Linked DNA regions of Rattus norvegicus. The protein of the gene in region 2 interacts with the protein of the main gene of each other region in a pairwise test. Links are inferred from orthologs where the notes say so. Each region holds a gene or a part of one and is shown on either strand. Other genes may lie near its edges.

Region 1 (4,179 bases), about 56 Mb from region 2:
GGCTCCAGACTGGGCTGCCCACACCTTCCTGCCCTCTGGAAGCGGCCCTTCCACAGACACTCACAGTGGAGCCATAGTTTGCCCAGAAAAGAGACCAGTGTACGCCAGGCTTTCAGTGGAAGTAGGACCCGAAACCTTTGCTTTCTGTGCCCACTTTGTCCCCCTTCTCACCCCAGAGTCCTCAGAGACTTTTCTAAAACTCCTGGGGCTTCACAGAGAAATGTGAAAACAGTCCAGACCACTGGTCCTCAACCTTCCTAATGTTGTGACCCTTTAATACAGTTCCTCACATTGTTGGGGGGTCACCCCAACCACAAAATTATTTTCATTGATGCTTCATAACTGTAATTTTGCTACGGCTATGAACCATAATGTAAATAGTTTTGAAGACAGAGAATTGCCAACGGGATCTGACCCACAGGTTGAGAACCCCTGGTCTAGCCCATCCTTCGGTGTCACATGGGGGGAACTTAGTCGCTGTCTTAGAGCTCGTGACTGGCAACCTGCTAATACAGGTCTAAGGCTGGCTCCTAGTCCCCTTCCTTCTGTTCTGAATTCCCAAGCACAGTCCCTAAGAATGGGCTTCACGTTCCCTCTCTCTGTCTCCCATCCTAAAGCTTTTTTAAAAGCTGGCCTGGAACCAAAGAACCCTGGTGACAGAGGACACTGGGGTCAGGGACAGGAGAAGCTGAAGGTACCTTTGGGAGCCAAATGAAGCTTTTAGAGAGGATGTCTGAGTCTGCTCCTACCTGTGACTCAGAACCTGCTGCCCAAGGGTAGGGACAAGAGGCACAGAGTGAGTGACCAGCAAGCCTGTGGTGATGAAGCTGGGTAAGGAGGGGTCCCTTGGGGGTACAAAAGCTGACAAGAAAGTAAAACCCCTGCACTGGCCACCAGGAAGGTTTGCCCCTGGAGAGGCCAGCCACATGCTGCTGGGTGAGTGAGCTCAGGAAGGGACAAGGCCAGCGGCCACAGCTGGGCCTTAACCCAGAACACCTTCCCCAGGTGTACCATATCCACAAGTCTCCACTTGCCTCTGCTCCTCCCCGGGGATGTGCCTGCCGCCTAATCACTCACAGGGAATTCACACAAACACACTGACATAAATACGAGCAGACACCCACATTCGCAGACACCCGCGTGCGTATAAAACACACATTTACATCCACCCACCCACAAATGCTCTCACTCCAATGCTGTCCACCCTCAGGCACAGACCTGTTGGCTGGAGCCACAAAAACAAAGGGCGCAGGGCCCGACTGAGAGCAGAGTAAGCAATGGAGATGGGGGTGGTGGGGATGACGGGAGTGGCTTCCAGATTAGGGCAGAGCAAGCAGCTGCTGGACTGCAAATCCAAACCTGAAACTAGCAAAAAGGGTCCTCAGAAGCCCTCAAGTCCCCTCTTAGTGTCTCCTCCCTGCCTTAGTTATTACATGTGAGGACAGAGAAAGAAAGAGAGAGACAGAGATAGACAGAGAGAGACACAGAGACAGACAGACAGAGACACAGAGACAGACAGAGACACAGAGACAGACAGAAACAGAGACAGAGTCAGAAACAGAGAGTCAGAAACAGATGGAGAGACGGACAGAGACAGATCAGCCAAGCAGAGTCCAGAAGAGTTCCGAATCCTTCAGTTTTACATTCTGGCCTGACCTAAGATTCACCACGTGAGCTTAGCCTAGCGTCTAATCTGTTTGCTAGGGGATGACCTCTCATAAGATCGTTGGAAGTTAGAGAATGACCTCTGAGCCCCTGGCGGAGGTGAAGAGGAGGAAGAACTGTCTTCTAAAAGCAGAGCACCGTGAAGACTTAAGTCCCCAGTGAGGGTCAAGGTGGGAAGGGTAAGGGAAGGCAGCGAGGGGACTAGGAAGTCACCTCTTTCTCGGCCTTGGCCTCCTCCACCGTCACAGTGCTATGGTTCTTGTGCTCCTGGAACATACAGAGATAGCAGATGCAGGTCTGGTCGGTCTGGCAGAAGAGCTCCATGGTCTTGCCGTGCAGGGGACATTTTCGGGCCTCGAAATCCCGGATGGGCTCGAGTAACTGATGGTCACGGAAGGCAGCGCCCTCCAGGTGGGGCTTCAGATGCAGGTCACAGAAGGAAGCCTGGCACACCAGGCAGGACTTGACAGCCTTCTGCTTGTTGCCGATGCAGGAGTCGCACAGCACCTCCTCAGAGCCCGACTTAGACCGCAGCAGGAGGCTGGAGTCAGCTCTGGGGTAGCTGTTCCTGCGGGCCTCCCCCGGCTCCACGATAGTCACCGTGGGTTTGCGGGGCTCGGAGAAGATGGACTTTCGCAGCTCCCCCTTCTCAGCAAAGGTCACAGGAGGTTTCTTGGAAGCCCCCAACTGGAGCCCCGCATAAGGGGACCTCCTGCCTTCCGCAGAGTCCATGCTGAAGTAACTGGAGCCTTTGTCGTCTACTGACTCCACGAATTGAATAATAGGCCTGCGCCACTCGTTGCTGGAAAATAGGCCACTCTTCCCCTCCCCTGACTTCAGGGCACTGCCCAGGGTCTTGCCCTCTGTCACCTCCCCACTGTGCCCGTTGGTTGTCTTGGTGTCCTTACTGTCTGCTTTAGTGCCATTCTCTAGGCTGCCGTTGGGACCCGGTGGGCTGCGAGCGTCCCTGGCTTCCGGGCTGGCCCCATTGCTCCTGGAGGCATCGGCACCTTCCATGGCAGGTCACTTGCTAGCCTGTTTCTGCTGGTTGGGGTCTTGTGGCTGGTGACTTCAGTGGGTGTCTCAGGCACGGAGTGGGGCTAGCAGCAAGAGCCCAGGGACACACCTGTGGGAGAGGTGGGGCAGGAGGAGGAGCCATAGGCGGAGCACAGGCGGGGCAGAGTAGCTAATTACCTGGGCCACGCCTGCACATTCATCCCTAGCCCGGGATTTTAAAGAAATGTGGTTTTTTTTCTCTCTCTCGTGTCTTTTTTCTCTCTCTCTCCCAGTTTTATTACTTCCCACCACTGACAACCAGTTAGGCTGCTTCCGTCAGATGCACTTCAGGCAGAAAGGCAGAGCCTCTGTCTTCACAGGTGGGCAGGCTTTGAGGAGGTCAGTGCCCCTGGGGCCAGAAGGTGAGGTGTCCACAGAGGTCCACGGGACAGAAAGCTTCTTAATTGGGTCACACAAGCCAAATCGCCTTGTAATTTGCGGGCTGGATATCAAAAGCACGTCTCCACCCTAGGACAGCACATTCTGAGGAAAGCTGTGGCCCGGGTCTTGTTTGCACAACTGATTCTAACCAATTTGCAGCTGATGCCTTAGGTATTTTGCATGTCTGAGCTTATTTAAGCCTCCCTACAATCCTCAGTCTGGCGCTCTCAAGGCCCTCGCTTGCGCTCGCGCTCTCTCTCTCTCTCTCTCTCTCTCTCTCTCTCCCTCACTCCCTCCCTCCGTTCCACCCTCCTCCTCCCCCTCTCTCCCCCAAGGTGTGTGTGTGTGTGTGTGTGTGTGTGTGTGTGTGTGTGTGTGTATACTCATGCTTGTGCACGTGTCTGTCTATCTGTCCAACATATTCCTCAATTGCTTATCCCTTTTTTTTTTTTTTGAGGCAAAAGCTCTTGCTGAAACTGGAGCTGACCATTGGATCTGCCTGTCTTTCTTGGCAGTAGGACTACAGGCACTGGATACCACATCTAGTGTTTACCTGGTGCGAGAGATTGAGCCAGGTCTTCATGCTTGTCCAGCGAACATTTCACCCACTATGTCGTTTTGGATGTTATTCCAGAGGGCCCGGCCAAGAGAAGGTGTGTGGGTCTTTTCTGAGTCATACCAAAAACCAACTATAGAGAGAGGGAAGAATCAAGTGTCTGGTCTCTGGGGACCATTGCCACTGGAGTCCCTAACTGTGCCTTCTGACAGAGATAGAACTTAGGCACTAAGAGGACACTGGTTTCAGCCCATTACAGGGCTGGGACCATAGTCTGGGCCTTTTGAGGTTGTGAAGTCTTCCCTTCTATCCCTAGTTCTTAGAGCCACCTGTGCCCATGGCCCTAAGAAAGTGTACATGCAGGCCTTAGGTATCCCCTCAGAACAGATCAGAACCTGTTTGGGGCCTTTGGGCCAGAAACACAGCAATGAAAGGAATCTGAGCAATGACAGCCAGGTGTGGGGTCCCCAGAGACCAGACACTTGACTCTTCCCTTTCTCCATAGTAGGTGTTCCGGTATG
Region 2 (3,500 bases):
TTATCAGACTCAGACTTATTAACACGTCCAGTTGGCTGTTTGATACCTTGACCTCTCTTTAAATCTCTGTACAGTGAACGCGTAAGCACCATAGTTCCCAACATGCATCCAAGACATGCATTTCTGGGTCTCCACCTGAGGATTTAGGAATTGATTTCTCCTTAATGAGTACAGTGCTCCTTCTTGATTCTTTTAGTCTCATCGGAGTATTCTCAGCCCTTCTTTGGGGAGATTTGTCAAGTAAGAGGTGTATGACACCTCAGAACAGGCCTCAGGGACGCAGCTTATCCTGGTTGGGATTTCTGGACAAAGCAGTTCAGGTTGTTTCTGAGATTGAGTTTCCTTCTAAGACATCAGATTTCAGTGATGCCAAGCCAGGGTTCACTTTCTAAAGTTCTTGTTCTCTGAGGAAGCAAGTTAATTTCCCTTAGCCAGATACCAACCCTATTGGAAGGCTCTAAGCAGCGGGGTCTACATTTTTTTTTTTTAGCTTATTTTGCTTGGTCATGTTTTTATAAACACTGATAGAACTGAGAGTCTTACAGAATAATGCCATTTCTCATGAGAAGTTTTCAAAATAAGATAGTCCCAGTGGGCTGAAGAGATGACACACAGTTAAAAGCACCTGGTGCTCTTATGAGGACCTGGGGTCAGCTCCCAGCACCAACAATAGCTAACTGAGTATAATCTAGACCCAGGGGATCAGGCCACCCCTTCTAGCACCTGACTGCACACTGTGCCCACACATACATACAGGCAAGTACCATACACACACACACACACACACACACACACACACACACACATACACACACACATCTTTAAAAAGGAAAGAGGATAGTTCTTGTCTCCTTACAGGCTGTTTCTATTCTATGAATTAATCCTAACCAAGTCTTCCTGCAAAGCAGTTAATATTTCCCAAAGACCTAAAGACAGACATGAACCCAGTGTCTAAGGAACACCCTTCTCTCAAGTCCAGCAACACCTTCCAAGAAAGAGTCGGCCACCATCAACAGACATCTCACCTAAGATTTCAAGAAGATCATTAGTAAAAGCCTGAAATGCTGGAAAAAATTCCTCATGCTCTTCCAATTTGTTGATAATGCTGTTTAAAACAAACATAGTTTATAAAAAACATCATCTTTAGAACATTTGCTAAAAACAGACTTCTCTACTCAGTATGCAATTGAACATTAAGTACCAGTGGTCAATAAAACAATGGAAGGACGGGAGAGACCAAGAGTGAAAAAAAATTAAATGCGAAAAACCCAACTGCCAGATTGTATAAGGGTTTTTACTGGAAAACATGCAGAATATATAGATGACACATGTGTGTATGTGTGTGTGTATATATATATATATATATGACTTATATGTTTATATATATACTTATACATATAAACACACAATACACACACACACACACATTCCCATTATGTACTTTTTAAAATATCAGGTTCTATATTAGTGGTGCCCAGTTTTTTAAAAATTCTTAATATTTCTCTTCTAAACAAAAAATATATATAACTAGTAATTATTAAGTAGTTTTGGTAGTGTCCTAGAAATAACTGATAGGTTATAATACAACTCAAGAGTTGGTTGTAAAAACTTAATTTCTCCATGTATAACTTGCCCTGAGGGCCCTGCCACTGCAAACGGAAGGTAAGTGACTTGGACAGCTTTGGGGCCCTTACTTTTCACCACTTCATGCATTCCCGACGCACTGCTAACAGATACCTTTGTAGGTCTTCAGGTCCTAACACTCGTTTAATCTGCTCACTGACATCTTCATTAATCATCTTACACAACTTCCCAACGGTGCTGACCACCATACACAATGACGATGAACTGTCTGCAAAAGAGGAATGAAAGCACAAGATACATTTTTAAAGAATTCCCAAAATCATTACACTCATCTAACATTCCCTGCTCCAATTATACTCATTTTACTTTTGTGGCAGCGAGGATTAAGATTTATTTTTATTAGTTTACATGCTTGTGTGTCTGTGAGTGTGCACGCATGTTTGTGGTATGTGAACTCTGAAACAACAGAGGCCAGGAGCATGGGTGTCCTTTCCTCTATCACCCTTCGCCATTTCTTTAAGGCACACTATCTCCTTGAGCCTGGAGCTCACATTTTCTTGGCTAGGCTCAACAATTCTGTCTCCATTCTCCTCAGAGCTAGGTAAAGGTATTTGTATTGGGTAAAGATATCCAGCTTGGGATCATAACTCTGGTACTCATGATTACAGAGAAAGTGTTCTGGCCACAGAGCCCTGGGAGTGGTAGTCTTAAGCAGGGTCTCATGAATCCTAGGCTGGCCTGGAAGTTGTTATGTCTCAAAAAATGATCCTGAACTGATCTTTAAAAAAAGGATTTATTTGCAAGTGTATATGAGTGTGTACATGTATATATGTGTGCACAAGTGCTTTTGCACACATGGAAACCAGAAGAGTGATTGGATCTGGAGTTACAGAGACTTGGGGCATGTCTGCATTACTATAAGGGTGCTGGGATATGAACTCCAGTCCTTACAATTTCACAGCAAGGGCTCCTTAACCCGTGAGGCAACTCTACAGTCTGTGATCTTGAACTTATAACCCTCCTGCCTCCATCTCCTGAGTATGTGTACACCTTGGACTCTATAGACCATACCTTGGACTCTATGGATCATACCTTGGACTCTATGGACCATACCTTGGACTCTATGGACCATACCTTGGACTCTATGGACCATACCTTGGACCCTACGGACCATACCTTGGACTCTATAGACCATACCTTGGACTCTATGGATCATACCTTGGACCCTATAGACCATACCTTGGACCCTATAGACCATACCTTGGACTCTATAGACCATACCTTGGACTCTATAGACCATACCTTGGACTCTATGGACCATACCTTGGACTCTATGGACCATACCTTGGACTCTATGGAACATACCTTGGACTCTATGGAACATACCTTGGACTCTATGGACCATACCTTGGACTCTACAGACCATACCTTGGACTCTATACCGCCAATGCCCTGTTTTTTTAGTGCTGAGAATCAAACCCAGAGTTCATCCATGTTAGGCAAGCATCTACCAACTAAGCTATAGCCCTTCCCCTGGTTCTGTTTATTGATGCGTATGTAATTAATAGGAGTTCTGTGAGGTCTGCTGGTACCCACAAGCAATCTGAGCACTTGGAAGGTGAAAGACAAAGACTAGGCGGTGAAGGCCAGCTTTGGCTGGAGTGAGAGCAAAGCAACATTGTCACCAAACCAAACACAACCGAACTCAACCCAACCCAAACCCAACCCCAAACCTCCAAACTCAAATTCCCCCTCCAAACTTCTAAATCCAAACCCAAACACCCAGACAACCCAAAACCCAGAATAACCCTAAACCCCAAACAACCCAAAACCCAAACCTATTTTTTGTTACTTTATTAGGAATAATTCTTTTTTTTTTCTTTTTTTTTTTTTTTTTTGGTTCTTTTTTTCAGAGC

The links.
Region 1: the proteins of Cep70 (region 2) and Trim29 interact in binary tests that used the Homo sapiens proteins (3 or more experiments, as listed by UniProt). The two-hybrid records come from large-scale screens. The link is inferred for Rattus norvegicus from reciprocal best matches to the Homo sapiens genes CEP70 and TRIM29.

What each region holds. Positions count from the first base shown.
Region 1 is NC_086026.1:52,577,796-52,581,974, reverse strand, and holds the start of Trim29 (tripartite motif-containing protein 29), read right to left. Parts: upstream 2,801-4,179; 5' UTR 2,683-2,800; coding exon 1,879-2,682; intron 1-1,878.
Region 2 is NC_086026.1:108,738,207-108,741,706, reverse strand, and holds part of Cep70 (centrosomal protein of 70 kDa), read right to left. Parts: intron 1,853-3,500; coding exon 1,738-1,852; intron 1,106-1,737; coding exon 1,026-1,105; intron 1-1,025.